Linked DNA regions of Mytilus edulis. The protein of the gene in region 2 binds, or shares a complex with, the protein of the main gene of each other region. Links are inferred from orthologs where the notes say so. Each region holds a gene or a part of one and is shown on either strand. Other genes may lie near its edges.

Region 1 (8,534 bases), on a different chromosome or scaffold from region 2:
ATGTTACCTTTGCAGAAAACAAATCTATTAATACAACAGAAGATGGTATGTTTAGTGTCTAATTAAGCCAAAACTATTTCAGGGTGTCAACGTATATTTGTTCCCAATAATATTTGTTCCTGAGGGAAACAATATCATAATAATATTTGTTCTGCGGAAATTGTGTCATGGAATACTTTTTCCATCTGTATTATATTTGTTCCACTGATATTAGGAACTTATCTTATATGTTGATGAGTATAAGAAATGTTCCTATTATGCTTAAGTTTAGTTTATTATGCCTGATTGATTGTTATATAATTCAAAACAGATTTTAAATGTTGATTGTATTCTAAATCAAAACCGGTTTCAATACTAATTATATGATTATTATGTAAAATGAAAAGTGTTAATGAGTTGGATATATTCACCTGTACACAATACCTGAATGTATACTGAAACAGAGGCTGATGAGTATGAGAAAATATTTATGTTCTTAAATGATGGAACATATGTTGAAGGTAACTAAATATGTTAACAAGTTCAGCTGTGAAATATAAATGTTAATTCTAATGAGAAAAATATCATTCAAAGGTAAAATATGCATACTAGTAATTGTGGATAATTCAGAAATATATCTTCAAGATTGGGACAATTCTTTTCCATATTCACGATACCTGTTCTTATAATAATTGTAAATACCAATTTTCCAATCCGGCATTAGTTATGGATAAAATATAGTAATATTTTTTGGTCGGAAAAGATATTATATAATATTTTTTCCGTACGGAATATATATTACATAATATTTTTTCTAATCGGAATATATATTACATAATATTTTTTCCAATCGGAATAAATATAACATAAGATTTTATCATTTTTTTCATTTTAATGAGTGATATGTCAAAATGATAAAAGTCAAAATGTTATACCAGTCATAAGATAAAAATTCCACCATAATACTTATTCCAAAGATAATTTATTATGTAATAAAACTTCCTATTGGAATATATTTTATGTGATAAAAATTCCGAGGCATCGGTCATTTTATTATGTTGATTGAATAAATATCACATAACAATAATTCCAATTGGAACTTTTGTTACATAATAAATTATCTTTGGAATAAATGTTATGACAGAACTTATATTCTGTGACATGGGGAGAGTGTAGAACCAATACTAAAATAATAAGAACACATTACTCTGAATGTGCTGCCAATCACAGAAATCTTACAGCAAATGTATACACATTAGTTTGTGCATCATAACTAAATAGCATAAGAAGAGAAATATAGATTCCACTGTTGTAACAAGTATGTTACGATATTTCTCCCCTCAAAACTGATAAAAACTGATAAACTAACAAATGTAAAGATTTCAATAAAATATGTAAACCTTAAAAAAAAAAAAAAACTGATAAATTCTAATATTAACAGGAGGCTTAAACTTGTTCCTTTTTCAAATATTTGCAGAAAACTGTGTTCTTTATATGTGACATCATTAAGCATGGTTGCCTTTTTTCGTGTTGTCACAATAGAAAATTCAGAAGAAACCAAGAAAATTTGACTTCACAATTAAATTTCGACCAATCATTTGCAGAGAAGAAATACTTTTCTCACAACGAACATGAAATGTGAATATAGCACAAAAATTAGAGAAATACAGATACATACCTTTGCTTCATATAATAAAGGTCCATGGAAGCAAAGAACTTTCTCTCCTGTAAAAAATATTATATTTGTTACTTTCATGTTTACTAATATTTCACCAAATCATCAACATGCATGTTCAATATTAAATTAATGATCCATTAAGTGGCTACTATGTATAAAAATAACTACAAAAGATTCTGACTCTTTAAGAAACAATTTGAAAAAATGGAAAACAAGACAGTGTCCATAGTCATGATAGAACTACATGTACAAAGATGCCCAACTCACACTCTCTTTTTCTATGTTCAGTGGACCCTGAAATTGGGATCAAAACTCTAATTTGGCATTAAAATAAGAAAGATCATATTTTAGTGAGCTTGTGTACTAAGTTGTTTTTTTTTTTTTGTGTACTAAGTTTCAAGTTGAATGGACTTTTGGACTTTAAGGTTCATCATGACAAACAGACGAACATGGCTGTATTTACATGCCAAAAACTACTCTTAGTACAGACTTACCTGTGAAGTTGGAAAAGTTTTAATGCCTAGCATCCACTAGATAAATGCATTTTATGTTGCAGAAAGATAAAATCTCTTTTGGATTTTGATGGGCATTTTTTTCCTTCATGCATAAGGTGTGAAAATTAACTAAGTTCAAAGTGGTACAACTTTGAGATGCTCCCTCAGGTAAAAAACCGGTTTGTATTGTTTTGATTGTCCTTAATTGACATGGACAAGAGGTATCTTCACAACTACAGGTGAGTTAAAGAGTTTATCTGAGTCAGTGAGTGGACAGTATCAAAGTAATTCAGATGTTTGTTTATTTTTACACCTTCTGCAGAAAGGAAAAAAAATGCCCATCAAAAACCAAGAAAGATGTTATCTTTCTTAAACATAAAATGAATTTAACTTTTATATATCTAGTGGATGCTAGGCCTTAAAACTTTCCAAACAGCACAGGTAAGTCTGTACACAGAGTAGTTTTTGAGGTGAAAATACAGCCACATTTGTCCACTTGTTATGATGAACCTTAACTTCATCAAAAACTACCTTGACCAGAAACTTTAACTTAAGCGGGACAGACGGACAATGAACGAAAGCACAGACCAAAAAACATGATGCCCCTCTACTTTTGTAGATGAGGCATAAAAACAAGTATGACAGACATAAAACAAAGACAACAGCTGAACTAAAGGCTCCTGACTTCGGTCAGACACACAAAGAATGTGGATGGGTCAAAACCGGTAGAATAAAATCTTATGGTTTCGATTACAAATAACTCTGTTCCTGTTCTATTGACAGACCCAGCCAAGTGCAAGTCCTATATGGTTTCAAGCAAAGGTGCATCTCTGATTTCCAAATGGAATAATGAAAACAGTACAATACACCTTTAATTGTTGCACCAATTAACATGATTAACCCAAGACCTGTGCCTGTTGAACTATTGATGTCATACAACAATCATTTTTTCTTTGTGGTGTCAGATACTTTCTATTATAATGCCAAAATTATAAGGGAACCTTTGAAAAGTCCAGTAATAGCAGACAAATACTAAAATAGTGAAATGCACAATTTACAAATGTCGAAATGGATTTTAAAATATATGTTCCTTCCACATCTTTCACTTGTAAAATCTTCCTGGAATAAGTCATTTATAGCTAAACAGATAAATATTCTAGAGGACATGTAAAAGGGGGAAAAGGGGGGTAATTTTTCTGGATTGTTTGCACAGGCACTTGTTTCTGGCAATGTTATTTTTCGTACGGGTGTGGAAAGTAAACCGCACATAGATAGAAACAAGTGCCTGTGACTTTTTGGTGTAAGCGAGATAAATTTGTTGTGTTTGTATAATTTTTGGAATTGTAACAAAACAAAAATCTATCGCAGCGAAAAGACAGGATGCATGTCTATTTATAAATGTCAGATTCATATAATTACTTAATTATTGCATCAACTACCTTCTTGGAACTTATATTTAGGCGGCATTTCGTTTATCCAAGCTTAGATAGTTTAGGGAAAATGTTTGCACATGTGTTTACGTCATCAATTTGTGTGTGAAATAATTTGAGACTGTCTAAAACACGGAAGTAAAAAAAGACGGAAATAAAAATTGATACAGTATTCTAAGTTATTTCTCAAAAATAGCTCAAAATAGATTTAAAATTGAAACGGATTTAAAAAGTTGAACAGAATGGTCTACAGTTTAAAACATTTATTTTTTTTAATTTTTAATTGCATTTTGACCAAAAATTGTTTTGGTCAAAATGCAATTAAAAATTAAAAAAAATATATCCGGCAACTTTGAAGATCTTTGAACACAATTTCACGAGAAAGTATACAAGAGAGTCTTGAGACCTTTGATATCTGTATTCTTTAAGTCATTATGTACATTTTCTCTATTCTTGCTTTATTTTGACCATAGTCTATTTTCTTTATATTTTAGCGCCAAATTATTCTCTATTCTTCATTTGATCTTCCCTTTTTTTTTATTCAATTTTGTATTTTTCTCCTTTTAAAATATTCTGCAAATTTTCCCAGTGTTCTCATTGGTTAAACATGGATACAATGATATGTTTCAACATATTTTAGATGTCGTCTAATTAACCACAGAGATGATCTCCGAAGACTGCCGACGGCCGTTATAAAACCTGATAGGAATATAAATAGATAGCGACCATGTGCAATTGGATTTTCTAGCGGTCTGTTATATTTCATACGGAGATTAAAAAGTATGCCATTCACCGCTTTACTTGAATAAGAGGAGGTTTTTTTTGTGGTTTGAATTAGTCAGTATAATGGTTCATCCTTATTTAACACTCAATGTTAACAAAATGGTTAACAATATTCTATTCCTTTGCAATAGCTCAGAATACAAGTGTTGCCAATCTTTAGCAGAGATGTTTGATTAAAGATCACATACCCGGTAATTACGGATTCAATGATGTCGAATTAATCACTTAAATTGTACGTGAATAATCAATCAGCGATATGATCCAGTCCTACTTTTCTTTGCCTGACCAAATTGAACCAAATTGGCTGCAATTCTAAAAGCGAATTATCACTCGCTATTTCACTTTCATTACAGTTAAAATAATAGAGCATGCAAACCAAGAATATAAATGCCTTGCTTGCCAACTTTTTTTTTTTTTGCTCAGACATCTATAATACTAAAATTACGAGGTCCAATTTGTCAGCCGTCATCACGTAAAAACGACGAATCAAAGAATTCAACTTTATATACAACTAATAAAGTACAAATGTGTAGTTTAAAAATTACGCCACTCCAGGCCCTTTTGTTTTCCAAGTAATTAATATTGCCAATAATTAGGAAGTTCCGGGTCGATTCCGATACCGATACCAATAGTATAATCAAATGTTACCTATTACCTTATCTGTACGTTACGCATCTGACAGGCGCACCACCAAACGGTGTATTCAGGATTAATATGCTTTATACACGGGTCATAATCACAGGGTTGACACTACTAAATTGTCAAATTGTTACCTATTGTAGTATTTTAATCCGTAAGACTTTCTAAGATAACAATACGAATACTAAAAATCTGGACTAAAAATAAGTTTCAATTTGTTAGCGGGCATGACGTAAAACAGCGAATCAAAGAGTTCAACTTTATTTATAACTAATATAGGACAATGCTGAAGATTAAAAAATACTCCATACCAGGACCTTTTGTTTTCCAAATAATTAATATTACCCATAATTAATAAGTTCCAGTTCGACGGGTTCAAACAGAAAGATTTGAAAGCAGAGAAAATTGTGTATCTTATAATCGGCATGACTTTATCAGATGCCAGTACTAATACAAAGATAAGGCTTGCGCATAGTTATATACTTTAATTCAGTCACGGACCCGCGATATCACGGGTGTGTTCTAGTTGTAATTAAGATTAACACCTAAATTCAATGGGTAGCCAGGTGGAGTATATATAACAGTCTGTTTACTATACACAAAGGTTTTATTGGTCAATTAATATCAAAATTGTTTCCAATGTAATATCCATTGTCCAACCAACTATTTTTTTATATAGTAAACAAACTGTTTCTCCGCCTCTCCTTTGAATTCAGGTGTCAATCTTAATTACAATGCCTGAGCAAACAACCAAACAAAGTTGGCAAGCAAGGCATTTACAAACTCTTGGTTCGCATGCTTTTTATTTTAACTGTAATCACTGAACAAAAAAAAAATCATTTTTTATTTTTTCTTTATCTCGTAGCTCAGTAATATGCCCTTAAATAAAGGTTGTTAAAATCTACAACTACAATTACGAACATTAAATGTAGTATATTCATACGTGTTTATCAAGATGAAAACTCTACATATTGGGGGTTTTGTGTTGTAATCTCCTGGGAAGAGGATAACTGACAATATACTGTCCTGGCTAGGTTGGCTCGAAGAAAATATGGCAAGTTTATATAGAAAAAAGCGGACCAAACATGCTGCTATATAAATCATGATCACTATAAAAGTAGCAACTCATATATTTAAAAAGTTTTCTATATAGCATTTTCAGAAAACGACATCTGTAAGGGACGACATCAAAAGTTCAATGTAGGATAAAAAACTTAATTCACATAGTTTTTTCGCTAACCCCCTTACCCCCCTTCTTAACTTAATTTGGGAAAAATTGATTTACCTATATGGATATATGTAAAATCGATTTTAGATTAACAAAACTTGCAGCAATGTTGACCCATTGTTCCACTACTAAATTGTCTATTCTTCTTACCAGCACACTTGGTACAATTAAAACCCTGATAATAAATTGTTCAAATAAGGCCTTCGAAAATAGTGGAATTAATTACTTTTGGAGTGTCAAGAACTCGTTGGAAGTACTTGATAAATTGCATGCTTATATTGGTGATTTTGAATCTGTTCAAAGTTTTGATTTTTCTACCCTGTATACACATTGCCTCACATTCTCATTAAGAAAAATTCACACACCTAATTAAATGGGCATTTAAAAAGTCAGAATGTGAATATATATGTTCAAACTCTTTTAGGTATTTTTTTAGTAGCAATAAACAAAAAAAACTATGTCAATTGGACATGCTTTGATACTATATATGCCCTTGAATTTTTACTAGATAACATTTTTGTTCGCTTTTGGGATTCCGTATACCGTCAGATTATCGGTATTCCAATGGGGACTAACTGTGCACCACTTATTGCGGACCTGTTTTTGTATTGCTATGAGTTACAATTCATGACAAAAATAAGCAAAGACCCATCGAAACAACATCTTATAAACAGATTTAATAATACTTTTAGATATTTAGGCTCTCAATAATGACGACTTCAGTATGTATATTAAAGAAATTTATCCTGTTGAACTTACTTTAAATAAAGCTAATATTAACAATGACCACTGCCCTTTCCTCTATCTTGATATTTATATCACTAACGGAAAGCTGAATACTAAAATTTATGATAAAAGAGATGATTTTTCATTTCCTATCGTTAATTATCCATTTTTAGATGGTGACGTTCCCTTGTCACCATCTTACGGTGTTTATATATCTCAACTTGTACGATTCGCTCGTGTATGTAACAATGTTTTAGATTTTAACGAGAGAAATGTATGTATTACTGAAAAATTATTACACCCGGGTTTTCGATATCACAAACTAGTCAAAACATTTACTATAGTAATTTTATCATTGGTATATGGACATCATTCGTAAATATAGCTCAACATGCAGACTTCTTATACGTTCAGGTATTTCACATCCAATTTTTTATGGAAATATTCTTTATAAAGCACAAAGGTGTCAGTATTCACCTCAAAAACTAACAAAACCTTTGAATAGACTTATTAAGAAGGGATATAGTTACGATACTGTTGTCAGGTCATTAAAGATTGCATATGTTGGCGTTAATATTGATTCACTTATATAGGGTCTTTGCATCGGAACTAAACACATTTATTAAAAAACCAGTTGTTGGCATGACACGGGTTATGTTCTTCTCATATATGTTATGATGGTATGATACTAAACCCCTAACGGGAAGGATTGTGCCTGATGTTCATATGATGAAATCATAATCTTTCAGCCTCAGTTTAATTGAAGTCTGGAGCTGGCATGTCAGTTAACTGCTAGTAGTCTGTTGTTATTTATGTATTATTGTCATTTTGTTTATTTTCTTTGGTTACATCTTCTGACATCAGACTCGGACTTCTCTTGAACTGAATTTTAATGTGCGTATTTGTTATGCGTTTACTTTTCTACATTGGCTAGAGGTATAAAGGGGGGGGTTGAGATCTCACAAACATGTTTAACCCATCCGCATTTTTGCGCCTGTCCCAAGTCAAGAGCCTCTGGCCTTTGTTTATAGTCTTGTATTATTTTAATTTTAGTTTCTTGTGTACAATTTGGAAATTAGTATGGCGTTCATTATCACTGAACTAGTATATATTTGTTTAGGGGCCAGCTGAAGGACGCCTCTAGGTGCGGGAATTTCTCGCTACATTGTAGTCCAAATAATTATGACGTCTTGAAAAGCTATTATAATTTTTTTTCTTTGACGCCTTTAAAATTACTTCGACTAAGGCGTCAAAGAAAAAAATTATAATAGCCTTTCAAGACGTCATAATTATTTGGACTAGCTACATTGAAGACCTGTTGGTGACCTTCTGCTGTTGTTTTTTTTCAATGGTCTGGTTGTTGTCTCTTTGGCACATTCCCCATTTCCATTCTCAATTTTATTATATATAAAGAATTACGTAGACAGGACTGACTGTAACAAATCTAACAGTAGTCCATCATGATGAGTCTAAGCGAATATGTGTCAACCTGGACATCTCTCTAGAACACTCAACACTTGAGCATACAGGTTAATATAAAAGAAATGCAGAGTAGAAACCATGCATAAAATAACAAG
Region 2 (8,888 bases):
TCTTTTTTTAAATGTTAAAAAAATGTATGTAACAAATCATATTTAAGTAAGCTGCATTGTTTTATATGTAAATTAGTCTAACCTAAGCGAGTTTGAGTCAAATACTATAAAGTTTCGTGTTATTTTTTCTCCGGGTGCAGGAATTTTTCGCTACATTGAAGACCTAATGGTGACCTTCTGCTGTTGTTTTTTTCTATGGTCGGGATGTTTTCTCTTTAACACATTCCCCATTTCCATTCTCAATTTTAATTCTTTAATAAACATAAAATTGAGGGAGTTTTGAATGAAATACAGGGTACTTTGAGGCCAATTAAGGCCCAAAATCAATATGCATTCTCCTTTATAAATAAACTTTATTAAAGTAATATGTAATAAAGTATTATTCTACAGATCAAAACTTGATCACAGGAACATCATTATAATGTAAAGTAATATGTAATAAAATATCATTGGACAGATCCATTTAGTAACAGAGGTAGTCAGATCTTATCAGACTAATCTACATGTGACCTCTACTCCGGAGAGGAGATCATCAGTCAATAGTGTAATCATTCTACCTCTTACAAAACCATACTATTAAACAAAGAATTTTGATTACATTTTTTTTTTTAATATTTCATTCATGGAATATAATAGTTCCTACATATTACACAGTAGCAAGTTATAGGGTCTATGTATTTATTTTATGTAACATCAAGTTTAAAAAAGAGTTTTGAATGAAAAACAGTTACAGGCCAACAATGCAACAAATTCTACATGTATTATATTTTCTCCTTTTAAAATATACTAGACGACAGGGACATTATTATTATTTCTAAAGTTACCGGTACATGTAATGAAGTATTATCATGATTATTGGACAGATTTATGTATGTACAAAATTTATGTAAAAGAGGTAGTCAGATCTTATCAGACTAATCTACATATGACCTCTACTCCGGAGAGGAGATCATCAGTCAATATTGTAATCATTCTACCTCTTAACAACACCTCATTATTAACCTTAGAAACTTGTCTAGGTTTTTAATTCATTTCGTATAATGGTTCATATATTTATGTTACATGTCCAAAAGACTTTATAAATCAGTTCCAAATAAATATAAGCCTAAAAATTATGCAAATAAATCATATATTGTGATTAAAAAAAAGCTATACAGTATTGCATGTATTGCAGATAAAAGATCTTGTATAATTAGTTAGATGCAAATAATTCGAAAAGAATTTGAATGTGTTTAAATAAACCATACTTCCTGGTGTAGGGTCAGCAATCAATGCCACATAGGATTTAAATGTGGTCAGCTGGGCGGTCAAATCATGTGGACTTAGTGGGGATTGCAGCATCTTGATAAGCCTTTATCTGAAAATGTAAAAGCACAAAAATCACTAATGTTTTCCTGTAAAATTAAACATTTCTGCATTGTCCAACAATCAAAGAAAGACTTCAGTTACAAACAGAAAAGTCTCCGTTGAAGATTTGAATTGCAGTGTTATCTGAAATAGACAGCTGCATAGTTTTGAAATATACATCTAGGTAGATTACTTATGTATCAACCAGTATCAGACACTAAATCATACTTGTACCCTTAATGGGCTTATAACCTAACCATTGCTGAATAATACATTTAAATTGAGGTAAATTTACAAAAAGATAATTATTCTTTAAAGGAATTCATTACTTATTGTTTTTAATCATCTCCTTTTAAAGACCATTTTGATATTTTTTTACATTTTCCAACATAGTAGGCCTTTAACTTTTAACTTATCGTTTTAACTTGTCTTCTCTAGCAAGTTGCCAGAAATCAACTTTTCTGATAACTGTATTCACTTGCCTGAATCAAAGTGCAACATCTTAAATAATGCTGTTCCTAAATGTAACTAATGACACAAGTATGTACAAACTTTAGACTCCTACCATATCTGATAAAGGTTAATCCAGGAAAGTTAGTGCTTTGAATGTAAGAAATATCATGTACAATGTCTCTGTGGCATGTGAATTACTAATATCTTTAGGGTTCTCTTTTAGGCACACACATGCATCGGGAATTTATCACAGACATCCTTGCACGCTCTATGTAAGTCTTACTAGTTTTTTGGACTCCAACACATTCCTAACTAATAACACAAGTATCTACAAACTTTAGACTCCTACCATATCTGATAAAGGTTAATCCAGGAAAGTTAGTGCTTTGAATGTAAGAAATATCATGTACAATGTCTCTGTGGCATCTGAATTACTAATATCTTTAGGGTTCTCTTTTAGACACATACATGCATCGGGAAATTATCACAGACATCCTTGCACACTCTATGTATGTCTTACTAATTTTTTTAACTCCAACACATACAAATAAGCGAAAACTAAATGAAGATGGGGGGAAAAAACAACAAAAATACACATTATATGTTCTCATGAAATTGAGAAAATTTAGACGGACACCTATTGCATGTATACATCAAGGAGTTGATGAATGAAAAACAAATATCATATACAGTGAGAATCCCTAAACTCACTACTCGTTGCAATAACAGCACAAGTAATTTCTCAGGTCTAGACCAGACCCTTTGCTTCTTGTTTTCACGATACAGAATACAGAATTTTCACGCATTATCATTTGACTTTCTTGTGCCACATTTTTTAAAAAATCAGCCAATCTCTGTTACACTTAGACCAGAATTATGATTACTGACATGATTTAACAAACTTTACTAAAATTGTATGTTTATAAATTTAGAAATTATTAAGAAACTAAGGTTTCAACTCCCTCAGGCAAAGTTGGCTTTAGATGAATTTGGCTATTTATTTTTGGGTGTTTTTGACATATATATATATGGCTCTTCAAAGGTCTCTGTACTTATACATCTTCAGTTTTCACATGTTTGGCTCTGAGCGTTCTTGATGAATGTAAATCCAGAAAAGTGCTTCGTTGAAACAAATTTTGAACCTGTTTTCAATTTTTTTTTATGAGTGAACCACTTTTAGCAACTGATAAGTTTTCTGTTGTTAGTATAACTGCATGATTTAAATGAAATATACGTTTAAAAGTCACACAAAATTTACGTTGTGTACATATATGTCGACTTTAATGCAATTTACTAACTTACTTCAGCACTCACAAAAACAAGGGGAGATAATTAAATCAAACGATGAAATGATCGAAGTAATGAGGCTACAGAGCGACAGCAGCACATGGTGTGGACTTTTCTGTGTATTTATAATGATAAGTTATGTATAAGCTAGGTTCTTGTGTTTATGCATTATCTAAATAGTATGCTTTACATGATATATTAAGCAATTCGGTCTAACGCTTCTCATTCCGGAAATCATAGTAGTTGTCTAAACTCGGAAGCAATGACGGACTAATTATGCATTTCTGTATTTGACACTTTTTTTTTTATCAATTTAGATTTATCGGTTTATGCTCAAATATGAAGTTCAATGGTAGTTTAGCTATTAAAATCTAAGTGTTAGAAATGAAATTGGCAAGCAATCTAGATGTAAAATTGCTAAGTATTAAAGATGAGGCTATTGAACCATGGGTAATTTTCTGTTAAGTAATTTTCCCGCTTTTATTTAAATAGATTCGGGGACAATTTTTTAGTTTTGTGTGAATAGTAGGGAGAGGATTATGAAAATTAATACTCTGACCTTGTTAGAGCTTGAGTTTATAAATCGCATGAGCTTGGTCCTATATTGGCACTTTTCAGTTTTCAGAAATTTACATGAATAGTCATAGACTACAGCCTTTTTTTTTGGCACAGTGTCAGAGCCGTAACTACCATTGAGGCAAGTGAGGCAATTGCCTCACTAAAATTTCGACCAATTTTTTTTTTTTTTTTTTTTTTTTGTAAAATTATAATTCGTTTATGGTAAATAAATATGAACATACACTAATGTGTTTTTTTGTTTTTTCTCAACCTTAATTTCTATAGTATAACAGTTAACTTCACCATCCCTTTTAAATCATTCTTCCCGGATATAACTCAGCATCTCAACGGGTGATGTTTCTCGATTACATTTTTACTTAGTTACGGTAATAATCATGGATCTCTGGTTGAAAACAGGTTCTTGCAGAAAAAGGAAAAGCGATAATGAAAGTGAGGAAGGAATATAAATTGTGAATTCATTGATGCTGTTCGTGATCACAACAGGGGTTGATCATTCAGAGTTTAAGTATTGAATTATAGATTCATTGGAACCCCAAAACTATAAATAGACCAACAAGTTACTGTCTATAGCCGGGAGTAGTTCTGTCTGCCTATTTATATCTCCATTTCACAAACTTTATTCGTTCTATACAGATAAACCAAAAATAGATATAGATATTATGAAACCTGCATGTGTTAGTTTTTAATTGTTCATGTTTCTTTTACCTTAGGAATTAAAATAACATTCCGTATTCCAATTTGCACTGTCCTGACTCCAAGAACGGCAGGGCCTTTAAAACGGGATATCATTATAATTTGGTCTTTTTCAATTCGGGACTACCGATTTTCATGACGTGTCTATATATTCAGGACAATCCTATTCGGGATCGGACCCACACCCACACCCCTTATTTATCGATTCTTGATCTAAAATTAATATTTTACCGCTGACTATTTACCGAAATAACGAAATTATTTGAAGTCACGAACCTACATGTTTACAAACGGTGAAAACTCCAGTAAAATTCTCCTGTACCCATATTATCTCACAAGTAAACTTACTCTGGATAAAATTATATACATGTCTTTCACGGACGCCATCACGAGTTGGTTGACTGTGGAATATCCGTTAATACACAGATGATATCAGACATGCTCCCATGTTGTAACTACAATCCCATAACGGCGTTCCCTTTTTTTTTACGAATTAGACTATTTACGAAGGGTGTCTTATATGGAAGAGGGTCTACTTATCCTTCCGGAGCACCTGAGATTACTCCAAGTTTTAGATTGGGTTCATGTTGCTTAGTCTTTAGCTTTCTATGTTATGTCCTTTACTATTATATAGATATAGGAAGATGTGGTATGAATGCCAATGAGACAACTCTCCATCCAAGTAACAATTTATAAAAGTAAAACATTATAGGTAAGTGTAAGGCCTTCAACTTGGAGATTTGTCTCACATCGAACAACAAGCTATAAAGGGCCCAAAAAATAATTTGAATTAATGTTGTAAAATCATTCAAACCGGAAAAACAACGGTCTAATCAATATAAAATTATGTTTGTCTTTTTCTTATTTGGCCATGGCGTTATCAGTTAATTTTCGATCTATGAATTTGAATGTCTTGTTTGTTTGCTTACGGGAAAGCCTAATTCCCCTTTTCAGACACAACTGTTACTACCGATGCTGCTATTGCGCCGATGTAGAAGGAATCGGAAGTTAACGTAGATCATTGTGTTGATGATAGCGTGCTACCATTAGAACCACAGACTGATGAAGTAATGGAAAAGGTGACGGAGATTGGCCTATCATTTGATCCTTTCGTTATTAAGAAACAAAGTTTTTCTGAAAATGAAAAATTGAAGATTCTTTCTACTCCGAGCAGTAGTGATGTAAAAACATTTCCAACGACAAAGGGACGAAAATATTCCAAGGACTGGGAAAAAACTTATCCATGGCTGCGCTACTCAGTTGAAGAAGATGCCGCTTATTGTGCATACTGCTTAGTGTTTGGTGACGGTCACGGTGACGGATTGTTTGGAATGATTGGTTTTCGTGACTGGAAAAACGCATCCGGTGACAAGAGAGGTTCACTCAGAATACATGAGAATAGCAAATTACACTCTGCTGCGAAAGAAAAGGCCGATAATCTGATTATGGTTTCGAATGAAAGTAAACCCGATATTTGTAGTAGTATAAGCAAAGCGTACGAGAACAAGATAGTTCGTAATCGTCAGATACTGCTTGCAATTATAGATGTTATTGTTAGTTTGGGACAACGGAATATTGCGCTCCGGGGAAACTGGGATAAGGAACTGAAAAAGGAAGACGGTAATTTTCAGTATTTTGTGGAATGGGTAGCTAAATTTGATGAAATTTTACGTCACCATTTGCAGTCACAAGGTCCACATTACCTATCGCCGAAGGTTCAGAATGAACTGATTTATTGCTGTGAGACCGAGATACGCGAGAAGATAGTTAATGGCTGTAAGCAAGCCGAATTTTATTCGATATGTGCTGATGAGACTACCGATGTCAGCGTTAAGGAGCAGCTTTCATTGTGCATTCGGTATGTAGACAGGATAAAGTCAGAGGTCAGAGAGGAATTTATGGGATTCGTAGAACTGACAAAAACAGACGCTGAAAATATTGCTGGGAACATCTTGACATACTTAGATAAGTGGGGAATAGAGATTGAAAAGTTAAGAGGACAGGGCTACGACGGTGCTAGTGTCATGAGTGGACACGTAAACGGTGTCCAAACTCGCATTCGGAGAACTAGTCCCAGAGCTTACTATGTCCATTGTCGTTCCCATAACCTTAATTTTGTTGTGACCCAAAGTTGCAAGGTTGTTCACCCAATTCGCAATATAATGGATAATGTGGTGCAACTAACCTGGTTCATTTGTGCTTCAGCCAACCGAAAGAATATACTTAAAGAAGAAATGTTCACCGAGTCTGACCTTATGAATAAGATAATGGAAATAAACGAGGAAGACGATAGCAGCGGTAAATTATTGCAGGAAGCTATGCATAAAAAATCAATACAACCATTAAGTGAAACCCGTTGGACGGCTCGGGTAGATGCATTGTCCGCAATAATCACAAATTACGAACAACTTCACAATGCAAGATTGAGGAAAAAAGCAGTGGCGATTCAAAATCTAAGGCAGGTGGTCATCGAAGGTTGATGGAAGACCCAGAATTCATTATGGCTCTAGTTGTTGGACAGTATGTCTTAGCATTTTTGAAGCCTTTGACACTTTCCTTGCAAAAAGTTGACTGTGATATGGTAGTGGCCTTTGATGAGGCACGGAACTTGCTAAGAACTCTGAAATCGATCAGATCAGAGGAAGCATTTTCTAAACTTTTCGAGAGAGCCCGTGTTTTAGCAGATGTAGTAGAAATAATTTTGCAGCCGCGGCGAAGAGTTGGAAGGCAAATTCACAGAGACAACCCAAATGTTGACTCAGCAGAACAGCTTTGGCGAGTTTCAATTTTCTATGCCTTTTTAGATCCCGTGTGTACTGAGCTTGAAAGAAGATTCCCACAAGAACAACGACAACTGATGATGGGTCAATACCTCTTACCTGGAAAATTTGACTACCTGACAGATGAATGCATAGATGAGATAAAAGAAGCATACAACCCTGATTTGCCGGACATTGAAAACTGGCAGCAGGAGATCCTTAGATGGAAAACAAAGTTCGCCGACAAGGAATCTGTTCCAAATTCACTCCAGCAAGCTCTTGTATATACACACCAGGATTTTTATCCAAACATAAGACGTGTTCTTGTGCTTCTGTTAACGCTACCAGTGACGAGCGTCTGCTGTGAACGTTCCTTTTCTGCCCTGAGACGACTGAAAACTTGGGGAAAGGGCATGCATGAGTGGCGAGAGATTGTGCGGTCTTGCCATGCTTCATGTGCATCGGGATAAGGATGTTAGCAGACAAAACATTTTGAGACGTTTCGACGAAACTGGCCATAGAAAAATTGGCAAACTCCAATTTTAACAATATCTACTGATATACTTTGCTCTATGTTCTGACTACAAACTTAAATAGATATTTAGATTTTTATCTGATTTATTAACTAAATTAAAGTGTTAAAAAAATTGGTGTTACTATCTACATGTCTTCAAATGATAAATGAATGTATGAAAAGTGTCTAAATTTGAGACATTGTAAAACTCTCTTAAAATGCCTAGAATGCAGGATTTTGCACCATTCATTCCATACCCTGTCAAAATATTTTCGCCTCGCTTCGCTCGGCTCAATGTTTTGCCTCACTAATATATTGGGCCTAGTTACGGCCTTGAGTGTCTTATTAGGGACTATACTAAGGCAGCAACCATTTGATTTTCTTGGGGGGGGGGGGGGGGGGGGGGGGGGCTATGGATTTTTTTGGAAAAAAAAGTTTGTTTCCAGTTTTTTGAATAATTTGTTTTTGATTCTGAGAAAAAAAAATGTTTGTTTCACCCTCAGCTGCCACTACATGTAATGCTAAAATTGAAAGAAAAAAAATGTTTTCGACTTGTCGCAAAAAAAGTATATTGTTTTTCGCCACAGGCGAAAAAATCCATAGCCCCCCCCCCCCCCCCCCGAAAATCAAATGGTTGCTGCCTAACATACTTAGTATAATAGTCCCTTTTTTTTAATCAAACTCCTGTCCTGCCTTTTTTCAAAATTTCAAAATATGTATCTCAAACATAATATGCAACAAAACAAGCTACTTCTTTCAGAAGTTAGCATACTATGTTCCATTCTCAATTTTATGTAATGGGATTAAAACTCTTATAATATATAGTACACAATTCACATAATTTCCTCAGAGAAGGTATTGAAAAAAATCTGGATCGTTTATATACATATCATATACGTTTGTAAGGTTTTTAGACTTTTTCGTACTTTTTGAAGTTTTGATCATACAGATTAAAATTAAATAGTCCAAAAAAATTCTAAACAACAACTCAACCATAAAATGAGTCTTCATCATGGGTTTTTCCTGATAAAAAACACAAATTTTGCAAAATTTATTTTCTTTTATCATACCTTTTTCAACAAATAATATTTACAAATAGGTTTCCAAAGCACTATTGGTAATCCAACTGCAGTCTAGTACACAGTTTAGTTCTGTTGGTAAAACTCCACCCTCAACGGGACTGAGCGAAATCCGTATGTTCATTGGGTTGATCTACTAGTCTCTTTTCCATTTTTCTTGTGTTACTTTGTATGGAA

Evidence for each region. The genes of interacting proteins can lie anywhere in the genome.
Region 1: transformation/transcription domain-associated protein-like (region 2) and mortality factor 4-like protein 1 share a complex: the UniProt entries of both Drosophila melanogaster proteins name them as parts of the tip60 chromatin-remodeling complex. The link is inferred for Mytilus edulis from reciprocal best matches to the Drosophila melanogaster genes Nipped-A and MRG15.

What each region holds. Positions count from the first base shown.
Region 1 is NC_092347.1:28,692,849-28,701,382, reverse strand, and holds the start of mortality factor 4-like protein 1, read right to left. Parts: upstream 3,706-8,534; 5' UTR 3,619-3,705; coding exon 3,591-3,618; intron 1,705-3,590; coding exon 1,658-1,704; intron 1-1,657. UniProt on the Drosophila melanogaster protein: Part of the Tip60 chromatin-remodeling complex which is involved in DNA repair. Upon induction of DNA double-strand breaks, this complex acetylates phosphorylated H2AV in nucleosomes and exchanges it with unmodified H2AV.
Region 2 is NC_092344.1:84,540,968-84,549,855, reverse strand, and holds the start of transformation/transcription domain-associated protein-like, read right to left. Parts: upstream 3,319-8,888; 5' UTR 3,262-3,318; intron 1,360-3,261; 5' UTR 1,342-1,359; coding exon 1,248-1,341; intron 1-1,247. Other genes in the region: zinc finger MYM-type protein 1-like, read left to right, coding at 5,430-6,839. UniProt on the Drosophila melanogaster protein: Part of the Tip60 chromatin-remodeling complex which is involved in DNA repair. Upon induction of DNA double-strand breaks, this complex acetylates phosphorylated H2AV in nucleosomes and exchanges it with unmodified H2AV.